Linked DNA regions of Pelodiscus sinensis. The protein of the gene in region 2 interacts with the protein of the main gene of each other region in a biochemical or structural test. Links are inferred from orthologs where the notes say so. Each region holds a gene or a part of one and is shown on either strand. Other genes may lie near its edges.

Region 1 (7,000 bases), on a different chromosome or scaffold from region 2:
CGTGGGCCCCAGGCCCGGGGGTGGTGGCAGATCCGCCTCGCAATCATCCCCCCCCCCCCCGTGCCTGAGAAAATGCAGTGTTTGTCATTTGCAAAAGGGGGGGGGGGCGAGCCTGGCCAGGTGTTGGGGAGGCGGGATGGGGGGGGAGCGGGCAGGTGCACCCTTTGCTGGGAAGGCGCTTGGAATGGGTTTTGCAGAGTCCTCCGTGCCCTCCCCCCACCCCTCCTCCCGGACTCACTTCCTGCCCCCGCCGAGCCACCTGCCTGAAATCTCCCAGCCCCACAGGTGGGGGGCGGGCGTCCCTGCTCTCCGGTGAAGGTCACGGGATGGGGAGCCGGAGCCGTGCACCTGCCGTCTGCCCCTGGGGCGCCTTGGGGCTGCAGCGTGCGGGGTTAGGCCATGTGGGGTGAGCGGTCGCCCCTCCACCTGGCTCGGGCAGTGAGGATCCAGCAGGATTTTGCCTGGTGGGGAGTGCGAGGGGCGGGGGAGGGTAACCGTCTTCGCCAGCCCTTGTCTCCGTTGACACCTGAGCAACTGCGCGGCGGCAGCTTGAGGGGCGCGTGGGGGGGCGGGTGCAGCCCCGAACGCGCCCGCTGGCTAAGCGCTCTTCAGAGGCGCCGGTTAGCTGTGCGGGGGCCCTGGCGTCAGCCCCACCCCTGGAAGCCCCCGCCGCACGACACCGCTGACGCGGGGCGCTGGGGGGATGTGGCTTGTGGGCGGCCTCTCAGCACCGTGCCGGGCTGGGCTGTTTGCCAGGGGGCTCGTGGGTGGCTGCATCGCTCCCCATGATGCAGGGCTGGGGTGTGTGGGGGGGGGGAGGGGAGGGGAGGGGGTGCTGCGTTTGCCTTCTTGCATGTTTCATTCCTTGGGGTCGGCTTCTGCTCTGTCCTCTTGGTGCACGGGGACCCTTTGAGAGCCCGCAGTGTGTCTGGAGCCTGGGGCTGGCGCTTCACATGGGCGGGGCTGGCATCGCGCTCCCTGCCCTGCCCTGCTCCTCTCCCATCCTGGCTCGTGCCGGCTCTGGTGCAGGCCCCGGCAGGATTCGAACCTGCCGTCTTCAGCACAGACCAGAGTGAACCGAAGCGGGTAAAAGGCGGCAGCAGTAGTAGAGCGTTATCCTCCCGGCACCGGCCGCTAGAGGGCGACGTTGCTCACTCTGCAGGCCTGGCACCCTTGCTGTAGCCCTAGGCTGGCAGCGTGGTACCCGGTGGCGCCCAGACCCACCACGGCTGCTAACAGAGGGCTAGCTTGCCACCCCTTGCACCCTCCTCCCCTCCGCTGAGTTTCCAGGCCAGTTCTGAAGCCTCAAAGCGCCTCGTGTGGGTCTGTTGCTGGGCTGGGTTGAAAGCTTCGGGGGCCGCTTGCTCCCACCGCACCGGAGGGCAGGCGAGGGGGGACCGGCTCAGCGCCGGGCGCGTTCTCCTATCGCAGCGTCTCCCTGGGCCCGGCTCCAGGCCAGGGCGGACCTGCCCTGCCGGCGCCTGAAGCTGCATGGGCGGGGCAGGGCCCTGCGCCGGTCGGGTTGATGCGCGTTTGCCGGGGGACTAGTTGCCCGGGGAGGTTTGGCAGCTGCTCCGGGAAGGGGGGAGACGCAGGCCTGGTTTCTGCTCCTTGCCTGCGGCTCGGCGGGAGGTGCTGGCAGCGCCGGGCGGCTGACACTGACGTGCGTTGTTTGTTGGTGCGTTGCTCGGCCTCGGCGCATCGCCTGGTTCCTGCCAAGCCTGGGGCCCCGTGGGCCCAGCCCTGCGCCTCTCCCTCCGGCATTCGGCTTCGCCTGGTGGCAGCCTGGCCTGGAGTGACCCCGGGGAGCACGGCGTCTGTTGCTAGCTGGGAGTGCAGAATTCCTTCCCCAGCTCCGCCGCCCCTCCTGGGCTGATCCGGGAGCCGGGGACCTCTCCCGGTGGCAGACGTGTTTGGCTGGGAGGAGGGGGCGCTCCTGTGCCTAGAGCAGGGGCTGAGGGATCGGGGGCGCTGGGGGTCGGGATTCCTGTGCCCTAGAGATCAGAGCATGTGGGGTGGGGGGAAGACTCCTGGATACCGTTCCAGGCCCGGAGCGAGTTCAGCCGTTACTTCACCTTAGCGGGGCCAAACGCAGCCCTGGCAGGAGTCTGGTGGCAGGAGGAGTGAGGCCTCTAGGAGCTGGGTGGCTTGGTGCCTCAGTTTCCCTCGCTGGGTGGTGAGGCCTAGGAAAGCTACAGGAGATCTGCGAGGGGCAGGTGCCTCTGGCCTTGCCTTGGCCGGGGGGGGGGAGTTGCTCCTCGGGCACCCGGGTAGCCAGCAGGGGGTCAGTGCCCTGGGGGGGGTGTGGCAGTTTGCAGTTCTGGCCCCAGGCCAGGGGGGAGTTCAGGAGCCTGGTGACACGGGTGAGAGCCTGGCCAGCTTCCCCGGGCCCAGCCTGCGGGCTTTGGACCCAGTGCCTGCTCGCTGGGTCCCTTTCTCACCCGGCTCCATGGCCCTGAGCGAGCTTGTGGCTTCTCGGTTCCGCTGGGGCCTGGGTGTGGGGTGCCGGGTGGGGGTACCTCTCGGAGCCGGGGGAAGGTGGGCACGAAAGGAGCCAGGGGATGTGTCCCTTCTTGGGTAAAACTCTGGGCCAGGCTGGCAAGCAATGTCTCCATTTGAGCAGGCCCCGGGGGGGGGGAGAGACTGAGGCACCCCCCCCTCGGCTCTGTAAGACAGGATCCCCCTCTCTCTCCCAGGAGCACCCCCTCTGCCGCTGCCCGGAGGCATGGGGTGGGCATCCGGGGCAGAGGGACACTGGGGTGACACACGGGCTCTCGCAAGCCAGCTCCTCCAGACCCAGGTGCCCTGCAAGTTGCTGGACGCCTGCGGTGGGGCCAGGCCTGGGGTGAGCAGCATGCGGGGTGGGGGGCCTGCTGCCGAGAGGGGCAGGGAGGCAGCGGGTGACGGGGGGATGTTCCCAAGCGGAAGGCTGCTCCCTGCCCAGGCTTTTCCTGTTTAAATGCCAGCCCCGGGTGTTCCCTGGCCAGCTCGGGGGCCCTGTCCCAGGCCTGACGGCTCCCCGGGGCCCAGCGGGGCCAGGCTGCGCCCCGTTCCCAGTTTGCTCTGGGCGTTGCCACCCTCGGAGGGTTAATTTTAGCGCTTGGGAAATGGAGCGATTGGCAGGGCGGGTGGGCATTGTCCCAAGCCTCCCTCTGCGGCAGGTCGAACGGAGCCCCCCCCACCTTGCAGGGCTGGGCCCCCCCTCAACGCTGACCCGCAGCCCCCTAGCACCCGCCATGGCTGCAGGGGGGTGGGCTGCATTTGCAGCCCTGCCATGCGGATCCTGGCAGCGGGTGGCACCTGTCTCGGGGCACCCGTGTGGCCAGGGCTGCTGGGGCCTTTGGATTCGTCGGCTCCCTGTCGTGCGGCCCGTGTCTGCTGGCAGGGGTGGCGCCAGCGCTCTGAGGTGCCTGCTGCACCTCTGCAGCATTTGGGGGCTGGGGCCATCCCAGCCTGCCTGCCTGTTACCTGCATGAGGTGCGTTGCTGTGGGTGGTTCTGCAGCTGCCGCGTTCCGTCCCAGAGGTGGCTGCCTTTCACCGCCAAGCAGGGATCATGTTCGGCCTCAGCGCGACCAAGCGGGGGCGGCTGTAGAAATCCGAACCCGTTGGTTGGGGCAGCGCCCTCCAGGTAGGGGTGGGGAGCTGGCGATCCTGGCCACCCCGGAGGGCGGGGGGGGGGGGGCTGCGCGGGAGCCAGGCACCATGGGACGTCAGGAAAGTGGGATGCTGGGGTTATCCCCTCTGCTTGGCTGTTGGATGCCAGCCCCGTGCTGTCATGAGCCCGCAGGGAGGCGGGATTGATCGATTTCCACTCTGCGTCCTTTCTCCCGGAGTGGACTCTGCCCCGCTCCTGTGTGGGTCGCCCTGGCGGGTTAGGCGGGAGGCTGCTGTGGGGAGACAGGACTGGCAGCGCCCCCGGGTGCCTCACGGAGAGCGGATGGGGGGGGGGGGGCAGGCCGGGCGAGAACATGACTAGGCCAGAGACAGCAGGGCCTAATGGGTAGAGCTTTGGTCCTGGGGACTCGAGAGCTCTGAGTTCTATTCCCAGCTCCGCTGGGTGACTCAGGCCAGTCACGGTCCCTTCGTGCCTCAGTTTCCTCTCATCATTCTCCTTTCCAACGTGCCCGGAGCCCCGTGGGCGGGAGGTGGCGTGTGCAGAGCGCCGGTTTGGGAAATGCCCCACGCTGACGGCTGCGCACTTGTGTCAGGCCTGTGCCCGCCAGGGCAGAGGAGGGGCTGTAGCACCAGGCTGGGCCAGCGGCACAGGGAGGGAGCTGGCCCTCACAGGTGCTGGTTCCACTCCCCCCGCCCCCCTCCCTCGGGCCCCTGCAGCGGAAGTAGCACTGTGCCGACTTCTGGTTTCTCTCTCTTGACAGGGCTGGGTCCCCTCGCCAGGAGGACAGAGCTGAGCATGAGCCAGCCGGGACCGGGCGCCCCTCAGTGCTGGGTGAGTCCGGTGGCCCTGGGGCGGGGGGGCTGCCTTGGTTGCAGATGGGGCCGGGGCTAGAACCCAGCGGTGGCTGCTGGTCCCCCAACCCCGGGCCCCGAGAGACTAGAAAAATTGAGCGCGCAAAGATTTCCCAGTTTCCTGTTTTTCACTCTTGCAGGGAGGGGGAGGGGCAGGTCGGGGAGCGGGTGAATGAGTTGGGGGGGGCCGGGGCTGGTCCCCCCCGCCCAGCAGCGGTGCCATGCGGGGAGCCAGAGACTCCAGGAGCAGGTGACGCAGGGTCTGGTTAGAGGCCAGGCAGGTGCGTCCCCCTACCCCGCCGTGAGCGAGAGCACTAGGGGCCGAGGGGCTTCACGAGCCTCCCCTCGTGTGTCCCAGGGACCCCTCTGAGCTGGGGACCGGCGGGGGCAGCCGGGATTCCTGGGGGCTGAGAAGGGAGTGGGCTCCCGCGGGAGCCCATGGGGAGGGAGGGATAACGTCCCAGGCTCCGCTGAGTACTGGGGACCAATGATGACTAAAAGGAGGGGTGCTGGTCACAGGTTCAAAACAAGGGAGCCAGCTGGGGACACCGAGCAGAGAACCCCGGCCAGCGCCCGCTGCTCCTCAACGCTGTGACTGGAGCCAGTGGACGCTGCCCAGAGGAACTCTGCCGGATACGTGCCACGAGGGAGGAACGGAAATAGGCCCCCCAGTCGCAGGGATCCCCTCGTCCAGGATCCCCCTCCTGGTGTTCTAGCCGGCGGTTGGCTACAGCCAGGAGGAGGCCGGCGAGGAGGTCCTGCGCCCTTGTGGGGCCCGGATGGGGTGTGCGTAGATAAAGAGGGGAAGGGAAAAGTGCAGCCAGAACCTTAATAAGAGGTTCTGGAGGAGCCGGACTAGGCGCCGCTACCTGGCGCATTCGAGGTAGGTGTGCGCCAGTGTTTCCCTCACGCCACACAAGGGGCAGGCGTCCAGGATGGGGGTGAACCGCGCCAAGTACACGCCCGTGCTCACGGCCCCATGGAGGAGCAGCCAGCTAGTGTCCCCGATGGGCTGCGGGATTAAGGCAGAATACACACGGGCACATCAGGGTCCCCCATCCTCAACGGGTCTTAGGTAGCCCTGCCCTTGGTATCGGGGCGGGGCACGAGGGGGGGATGCAGAGTACGGAGCACGAGCGTGTGCAGATGTTCTCTAGGCGCGGTTCGAAAGCCAGCCGGCTGGGGGTCCAGGGATGGGGAGGCTGGGGGGGCCCACGGAAGAGGGGCCAATAAGAAGGGACGGAGGGTTTGCGGGAAGGGAGGGGCAGGGCGTCCCCTCACACAGGGCTCTGTAGGAGATCGAGAGTGGGCCGCGGCAAGGGGGGTAGGTGCAGGGGGGTTCGGAGGGTGGAGAGATCCACCCAGTCCCCCCTGTTGTAGTCTAGGAGGTCTCCGACCTTGGTGGTTTCTGCCAGGATCAGCCTCCGGCGCGGCGCGGGAGACTCCGCCACCTGCTCGCACGAGGCTGGGGGAGAGGATGGGGAGCTAGACTCCTTGGTTCTGTTGCCGTTTCCGAGTCGTTCTGCAGCCTTGGGCAGCGCCCGCCTCTGTGCCTCAGTTTCCCCACAGGGAAACGCGCCCGGCGCGTGCGGGGGATGTGGTGAGCAGCTGCCTGCAGGGTGCGCCGACGGGGCGGGAGGAGGTGCCGGAGGAGCACGGCACAGCCTCGTTCATTATTCAGCTGCCTATCCGGTGTCAGCACCTGGTCGCGTTCCTCTCGCCTCTCCTCTGTGCCGGCTCGGGCCAGCCTGAGGGAACCATCCCTGTGTGGGGGGGGCCGGATCCAGGATCCAGAACCCCCTGGGTTTGGGGAAAGCCACCCAGGGGAGTGGGACGGGAGGGTGTTTGGTGCCAGGCCCGGTGTTGTCGGCCCTCGGCGGGTGTGAACAGCCTATGCCGGCACCGCCGCTCTCCTGGCTCCCGCGACTGTGGGATAGAAAGAGCAGCCTGTTTCCATGGTAACAGCCGCATGGATCTGCGAGCTGCTTCGTGTTTTAAAAGAAACGCGAGTCGCTCTGCCCCCCGAAGCACCGCCAGGCCACGAGGGCCTATCCCCGCTAGCCTGCGGGGACCGACGGGCGGCGGGCTGGGCCCCGCTTTGAGGAGGGGAAACTGAGGCACGGGGCTGCCCTGCCTCATGCAGGGAGTCGGTGGCAGAATATGAGAGGGAAACTCCGGTCTCGTGAGAGGCGCTGTGCCTTGAGAGGAAGGCTTCACATAGCAAATCGGCTCCCGGCTTGGGAGTGGGGAAACTGAGGCACCAGAAGCCTGAACAATTCCAGAGAACGGAGGCATCCCAGCTCCCTCCGTGTCCTCCTGGAGTTGGGGTTGGAACCCAGGTGTCCCAGCGCCCCTCTAGCAGCTCAGGAATGTTCCCACCCGGGGGGGGTGATGTGTCCCCTCCCCGAGCGGAGCCCCCCTCCGTCCCACGGTGCCCCCCTGGGGCGTGGCAGGGAGCAGCCTGCCTCGGCCTCACCCCGTGTCTGTGTTTGTCCAGAGGCCGGCCACCTGAGCGGCGGGGGGTGTCGGCCC
Region 2 (7,483 bases):
CTCTCTAATGTCCTCAGCAGTGAAGACTGAAGCAAAGAAATCATTTAGTTTAACCGCAATGGCTTTATCGTCCTTGATTGCTCTTTTTATATCTCGATTGTCTAGGGAACCCACAGGTTTGTTAGAAGGCTTCCTGCTTCTAATATACTTAAAAACATTTTGTTATTTCTTTTTCAGCTTTTGGCTAACTGTTCCTCAAAATCTTTTTTGCTTTTCTTACTACATTTTTACACTTGATTTGACAGTGTTTATGTTCCTTTCTATTTATCTCACTAGGATTGGACTTCCACTTCTTAAAATATGCCTTCTTGTTCCTCACTGCTTCTTTTACATGGTGGTTAAGCCACGGTGACTCTTTTTTAGGTCTCTTGCTATGTTTTTTAATTTGGGGTATACATTTAAGTTGGGCCTCTATTATAGGGTCATTAAAAAGTTTCCATGCAGCTTGCAGGGATTTGGCACTAGTCATTGTGCCTTTTCATTTCTGTTTAACTAACCTCCTCCTTATTCCATATTCTTTGAAAGACCACCGAGCTCAATATTTTAAAATATAAATATAACAGATTTGTAAAAATGTATAGTCTATATATTAAATATTTAAACAAAAACTCACAGTTCATTTTATTTACTCAATCCACCAGACAACATTTAGGATAAATACAAATCTGTCAACAGTTTAGAAATCATGGAATTACGGTCACTACTCTGTCCTTATTTTTCCATGTATTATAGAAACTTGATCAGTTATAGCTAAAGGAAAAGAAACAGTCATATTTTATAACTCAAGTGCCTGCATAACTTACCTAAAAAAAGGTTATAATATAGTTTTATCATCATGTATAAAATGTTAGGTAGAGTTCCAGATGACCATAAATGTCCTTAGAATAAGTATTTTATACCATTTACAATAAAGACTTTGTGAGTTCTGTATCTGAGTTCTGTCACTTATTGGCTATGTGGCCAAATATATACTTAATATGAAGAGCAAAGCACCTCAATGCTGACTCAAGTACTCAGTATTTATAGAATCAAACCCTAATCCTCATAGCATAACTTGCACAGTAAGTACAATATTATTTATCCACTGAGGTTGTAAGGTTCACTGATTTTGAAGTATTTTGTATGAAAGGTGCAATATATAAAAGCAAAATTACATATTGTATACTAGCATTTTGTACACACATGTATAGTATTTCTGAAAGGAAACTGTAACAGGAATAGACAGCATAATTGAAGGCATAATGTTACTCATTAAATAATTAATACCTTTCCAAGTATCAAGTCTGTCAGCCCAGATTTTTTCAAGAAAGCAGCAGCATCAGAAGCCACCACTCTTCCAGTGTTACTAGAATCAACCTGTGAAAGATACCACCACTGATTAGTACCCAGAACTGCTACAAAATACACATTCTTAATCAGCAGGCTACCAGAGAAGAATGCCCCCCCTCTCTCTTTTGAATTCTAAAGCAACTAAATTCTCTTCGGTGTATTTTAACAGCTTCCTTTCAAAATAAATGCATTTTACATTAGAACAGATGCATTTTAAAGCGGGTGCTAGAATGAATCCACTATTTTTCTTAAACTTAACCTAACTATAAAATATTATCCACACTTTGTACTCAGGAGTTAATGCAAGGGAATGAAATATTTTTACATTAATTTTTATTTATAAACATACAGAAATGTATCTATTTAATACAGGTTGAACCTCTCTAATCCAGAACTCTCTGGTCCAGCAACATCTGTGGTCTGCCAGGAGTAGCATTCAAGATTTTTCAACCTTTAATTACACTTGAGTTTTAAGGTCTTCAACAAAAGGTACAGGATTTCAAGTATACATCTGAGCAATACTCAAATAAATCAATGTACAATAAAGATCTTATCTGGATGAGACCACCACATGATTCTCTTCCAATCAGTTCTTCCCAATTGCAGATTTTCTCCTTTAGTAACTCCTTTAGTAACCATGCCTTCAAAGCATCAGACTTATATGTACATACCAAAATCCTCAGGAGGTAGGTTAAGCTTAATGGAGTAGTTCAGAGTTCATTACTAATATGCCCTGGAAAAGTCTGCAATGTCAACTTTTCCTGTCCTGAAGGAAACGGCATATCCAGGAAGTCAATGATAATGTTGGCAAGGCACTTAGGTACAAGATTGCATTTTCCCACATTTACAGAGCGGTACCTAGGACTGGATGTGACCTCATCTCCCGAGGGAACAAAACGTTCATAGCCAAATATCAGATGGAAAAGAATAAACTGCAAGCTTTGAGTGTCTGTAAAGTACCAACCACATGAAATTATAGCGGCCTAGCTACAAAAATTCAAGAAGGAGAGATTAATATCTCCTTTGTTTTGGTCTTTGACAAGACAATTACTGATGTTCTTTTGATCGTACCTGTTTTTTTGAGGCTGGCAGACAAGATGCCACCTTATGACAAGGCCCAGGGGCTTCACTGAACAATGACAAACAGAAGTGCTTTTGGGCAGCTTCGTTTGATCCATCAGCTGCGACCCTTCCTGAACAAGCATGAATTGGCAACAGCGATCCACGCTCTTGTTACATCCCAACAGGATTAGTGTAATGCACTTTATATGGGGCTGCCTCTAAAGAACCTTCGGAAACGTCAACTGGTCCAGAATCTTAAGACTGCTCGAATCTTAACTAATACTCGTTATATAGAGCACATTATGCCAGTGCTTCAGCAGCTGCACTGGCTTCTAGTATGTTTCCGGGCACACTTTAAGGTTTTAGTCACGATCGATAAAGCCTTAAAAGAGTTGGGTCCGGGGTATCTGAAGGACCGTCTTCTCCCATATGAACCTGCCCAGAGATTGAGGTCAGCTGGGGAGGCTTTGCTTCATGTTCCCCCACTTGTGGAGATAAGATTAACATTTGTGCAGAACAGGGCCTTCTCAGCTTTTGTTCCCAGACTGTGGAATTCTCTTCCTCGGGATATTCTCATGGCACTAACACTAACATTGTTTCGGTGTCAGGCTAAAGCCACCCTTTTTACTCGTGCTTTTATTAATGTTTGAGTCTGTATGTGTGTGTTTCTCTTCTCTATATGTTTTTAGCACATTTTATGTCCCTCTGGAGTCTTATATTTTAAATTTTTATATATATTTGTATTGTGTTTAAACAGTTTTTTATAAGTCGCCTTGAATATTTTAAATAGAGAGGCAGGGTAAAAATATTTAAATAAAATAAAATAAAATAAAATAAAATAAAATAAAATAAAGTCTGGGTCACCTGTGTGTTAGTATTGTTAAAAATAACATCAGAATTATAGGAATGTGTTTAGATTTCATGAAAAGTTTCTAGAGGTCTGCATGTATTTCACCTTATAAATATTACTAGAAGATGTATTCAGCCTTGCTCTGGTCTATAACGGAAGAGGTGAGGTTTTTTAGGAAAAAGAAACGAAAATGTATTATTTCAATGATATTTCAAAAATGAAGGCAGGCGTGAGAGATCAAGGGTGAGGAGAGGCAGAGTGGCAGACGTTTGGGAGATATGGGGAGGGCTCAGGATAGGAGGAGGGGATGCTAAAAAGTCAAGGCAGGTAGGAGTCAGAGCTGGGAAATGGGGAGGGCTTACCAGGGCCACCCATGGCAGCAAGGGCAGCACTGCTCTGGTGGCAACTCCTTCCGGGGGGCCGTGGCAGCACTCCCCTGCCAGCAAGCCCCGCAACTGTCCTCCCCCACAGCCTATCGGGAAGAAGCGAGGCCCTCTCATGCAGCAACACTGCGGCAGCCTGCAGCCACCAGCCTATAGTTTGTTGGGGGTTGAGGCTCGGGGGACTTTCCCCCTTCATCTAACCCCCACCCGCATATATTCCCCTGTGGCCTACAGGCTGCCTGTAGAGGAGCCAGGCTGTGGGGATGCCCTCACCTTCAGCGCCCTCCCCATGCCCTGAGGTCTCTCCATGATGGAGTGTGGGGACAGGCTCCAGGTTTGAGGTGGGGGGCTCCTTACCAGTGTGTTGGCAGGCAAGAAGGCAGAATCCAAGCCCTTCTGGCCATTTTCTTGGCGCGGCAGATACCACCAGTAGCTGCTCTCAGTATCACGTCCCTCCTCTCTGTGCCCCTCCCTTTCACGTTCTTCCTCTCTCTGTCCCCTCCCTTTCCATGTTACGGGAAATAGTCCCATTCCCAGAACTTTCCATTTTCCAAGCACAATCAAACCCTGACCTTGGTTTAAGTTAGGGTAAGAGGAAGCTGCATATCAAATTTCATAGTCATAGCTCTTATGAGGAGGAGTTCTTGAACAAACGGGCAGACACTCTCTAAAATACATATACAGATAACAAGGGGTACATTAAGGATTTGTTCTTGAAGCACAAAAATGTTTGCTAAAAACCGTAAAACTTCAGTCACGAAAGAAGCATTACCAAACGTAAAATATTAGTTTGCCACAAGAGGTCTCATCTACTCCCCGGAAAAAGGCGGCATATATTGACACAAATAAAATCATAGTAAAGCGCATCAGTGAACAAAAGACTGCATTGATTGCTTCCCCACATCCATGAAGCAGATATGTACAAAAGCACTCATCCTATAATTGCCTGAACAGTGGGGGAATGCATAAAAATCTGTGTCAAGGAGAAATTAACATTATACTGCCTGGAATTTGGAGATGGCACATTTCCAATCATAACCAAAGGATCCCTTAGTTGCTTAGCCCTGAAGAGTTTACATATTACAAGAGCTTCTATTATCTTTTGTAGTTAGTTTAATCACAGGACTGGCTTCAAACATTATCTTTGGTAACAGATCTAAGAGTAAACTAATGTGGAGTAATGGACAGATCCTCTGGTACTGGGAGTAGCATGACTATTATTGTGGTTTTTTTGGTGAAACGGACCATCTGCTACAAAGGCAAACTTGCCTGGGTGGCAAGCTATACAAGAGAGACCAAAGAAATTGTCTGTGGTTTCATGTTAAAATTGTCAGAGTGCTTTAGACGTTCACACTTGTTATCTGGTTGGTGAAATTTAATTATAGAACATACAATCAGTTTGAGGTTTGGACTTTGTTTCTTGACATTCTGCCTTGAGGTTAGATCTCATGCTCATGAGCTACTCTAGACAGCTCAACAATTTTAGCTAGCTCTTTTATACCAAGTAAGAAGAAGTACAGGGAGGATTTCAAGAAAGTCTTTCATTTTATCAAGCTGACTCAGCTTAAGTTAGTAATGGAAAATCTTAAAGTAAAGCCACATAAAAACTTATTTAGCATGATTGCTTTAGTTATCGTAGGCAAAATTTGTATGCACCATCTTCCCAGATTTCAATCCATCAGAAGATCACTAAGAAAAAACAAGCTCTCAACTTCATCATATTTACAGATACACCAGACAGTATACTGTACTGGCCTTCACTGTTTCTGTAAAGGATCAAATGTAATCCTGCATTTCACATGTAATCGTCTACAAAAACAAACTCATTATGTTTATCATAGATTGTAATGCCCTGAAATTCTGAAGGATTTGACAGCTATTACAAGCAATATAAAGGATAGAGAAAAATAAAATGAGGACACTTTTGCTTTCAGCCCCTCTTTAAAGTCCAAGATTGATCAGAAGCTGATCAAGCAAAATAATGAAAATGGAAAAGAATGCTGTGTGATGGAATTAAATTAATATCCTAAATTAATTTGGCCAATACTTTAAAACATTAATTCCAGAGGCAGAAAGGGCATTTACTAATCCCAACCAGGTTCTTTTTAATCTGTTGAGTTGATCAGTCAAGTGTAATTTTCACAAAATATTACGATTTGTAGTTCTCCAGGGAATAAATTGACAACGGTTAATGAGAAGTTATGCTAGAGATAAGCATTTTGAAGCACACTATTGAATTTTCTCTAATATGTTCTTTCTTAGATTGGTAAGTATCTACAGGCTTTTGGATTGTCTTTTGAAGCCAAGGGTGAGATGATATTGTCTTGCAAAACCAATGGACAATTCTCCCTGTTTAAGGGATTAACAGAACATTTGAGGTATTCAGAGCACTACACACGCCTAAAGACATTTATAGAATTCACTGACAAAAGCCTTGATAAAAATGCCATTTGGAAAATATATTGGAACAGGTTCACCTTCATGTGTTCATATTTTCACTTCTAGTGGTAATTTTTGTTCTCTAGCAAACTCAGCAAGATTTTACAGGCTGGAAGCAACTACTGTGAATTTGCGATTTAGTGAAAGTCTGAAGTTGAATGAAGTTTTTACCAGAACTCTACATATCGCCTGAGTTTATCATCAGTACTTTTATTTCTTACAGTAGTGGGCTCAATATTCAGGGATTTAATGGGATGGTATACTTGTGCAAGCTTATGGTTGTCTTTTTTTTCCCTCTCCCTCTTTAAAACCACTAGTATGTTATAAGGAGCTCTCTGCAATGTGCAACTAATGCAACTGTAGTGTCAAATACAGCCTCATTTTATACTCAGTGGGTCCTCATGTAGTTTTGGCATCCATTCAGAAAAGAGCTGGTGGATCAATGTTCTTCCACTATTCAAGGAAACCCCAGAGTTATATTGAGTCAGCATTGTCTATTTTTAAATCTTCAACTCTATCCTCTAGGAAGATCATTTTTTGAGGAGTGAAGACAGGTGACTGTCATTTGAATGGATTCTGACAAGGTTACTTTTTTGTTCCCCGATGTTAGGCTCATTTCAGAATAAGCTTTCCATTCAATTAGTTTTAGATTTAGATTGCAGGGAATTACCGGGTGTATGGCTCAGGTGTTTTGACCATTTCCCTGATTTGCTCTCACTGTTTTCATGTTTAGCGTCCTGAGAGTATGGTTATCAAAGCTATCTTCAGTAATATTAAAAAGGATTTTTTTTAGATTTAAAGAGATACAGATACATTTGATTTAAATCATTAGAATGTAGAAAAATAGTACTTGGAATGCGAATACTATTTCAACTAGAAAAAAATTCAACTAGAAGCTCAGAAACATTGCTTAGATACTATCCTGAATGACATCACTTCATGGATTTCATTTTTTTAAATCACTTCTAATTTGTAAATTTCCAAGTTACATCTCTCTAATGGGAGATATTTGTCCTAACCACATCATGCCAGAGATATTCCAGTTGAGTTTGATAAGACATGACTCGGACAGGAATTAGAAGGGAGTGTGTGCTGGAGATGTGCCCAGCTCTCACAGTAAATATCAGGTAGTTTGACTTGCTGCTCTGCATCTGTTTCACAGGTATGCAAGCTTGGACGACTATAATCTTTTGAATGGACTCTGTGGCAATTCTTCCACATTAGGCAAAAAAGTAGCAATATTCACGTATGCTCCTCTGGTTTCATCTAAAAAGCTGTCTCTGAAATTCAGGACACTAAGCAGTTTCCCGACATTTCACTTCATTAAGAAAATCATCATAATCAATGAGCTTAGAAATAAAACACTCAATCGTGATTGCAATTAACACTGGCTGACTGTCCTGGAGTACCGGTAAGTCTG

Evidence for each region.
Region 1: the proteins of EPS15 (region 2) and FCHO1 form a complex in vitro, tested with the Homo sapiens proteins (2 studies listed by BioGRID). The link is inferred for Pelodiscus sinensis from reciprocal best matches to the Homo sapiens genes EPS15 and FCHO1.

The regions. Positions count from the first base shown.
Region 1 is NC_134729.1:17,886,717-17,893,716, forward strand, and holds the start of FCHO1 (F-BAR domain only protein 1), read left to right. Parts: upstream 1-3,969; 5' UTR 3,970-4,175; coding exon 4,176-4,288; intron 4,289-4,377; coding exon 4,378-4,448; intron 4,449-6,965; coding exon 6,966-7,000. UniProt on the Homo sapiens protein: Functions in an early step of clathrin-mediated endocytosis. Has both a membrane binding/bending activity and the ability to recruit proteins essential to the formation of functional clathrin-coated pits.
Region 2 is NC_134719.1:8,705,545-8,713,027, forward strand, and holds the start of EPS15 (epidermal growth factor receptor substrate 15), read right to left. Parts: upstream 3,007-7,483; 5' UTR 1,969-3,006; coding exon 1,870-1,968; intron 1,357-1,869; coding exon 1,267-1,356; intron 1-1,266. UniProt on the Homo sapiens protein: Involved in cell growth regulation. May be involved in the regulation of mitogenic signals and control of cell proliferation. Involved in the internalization of ligand-inducible receptors of the receptor tyrosine kinase (RTK) type, in particular EGFR.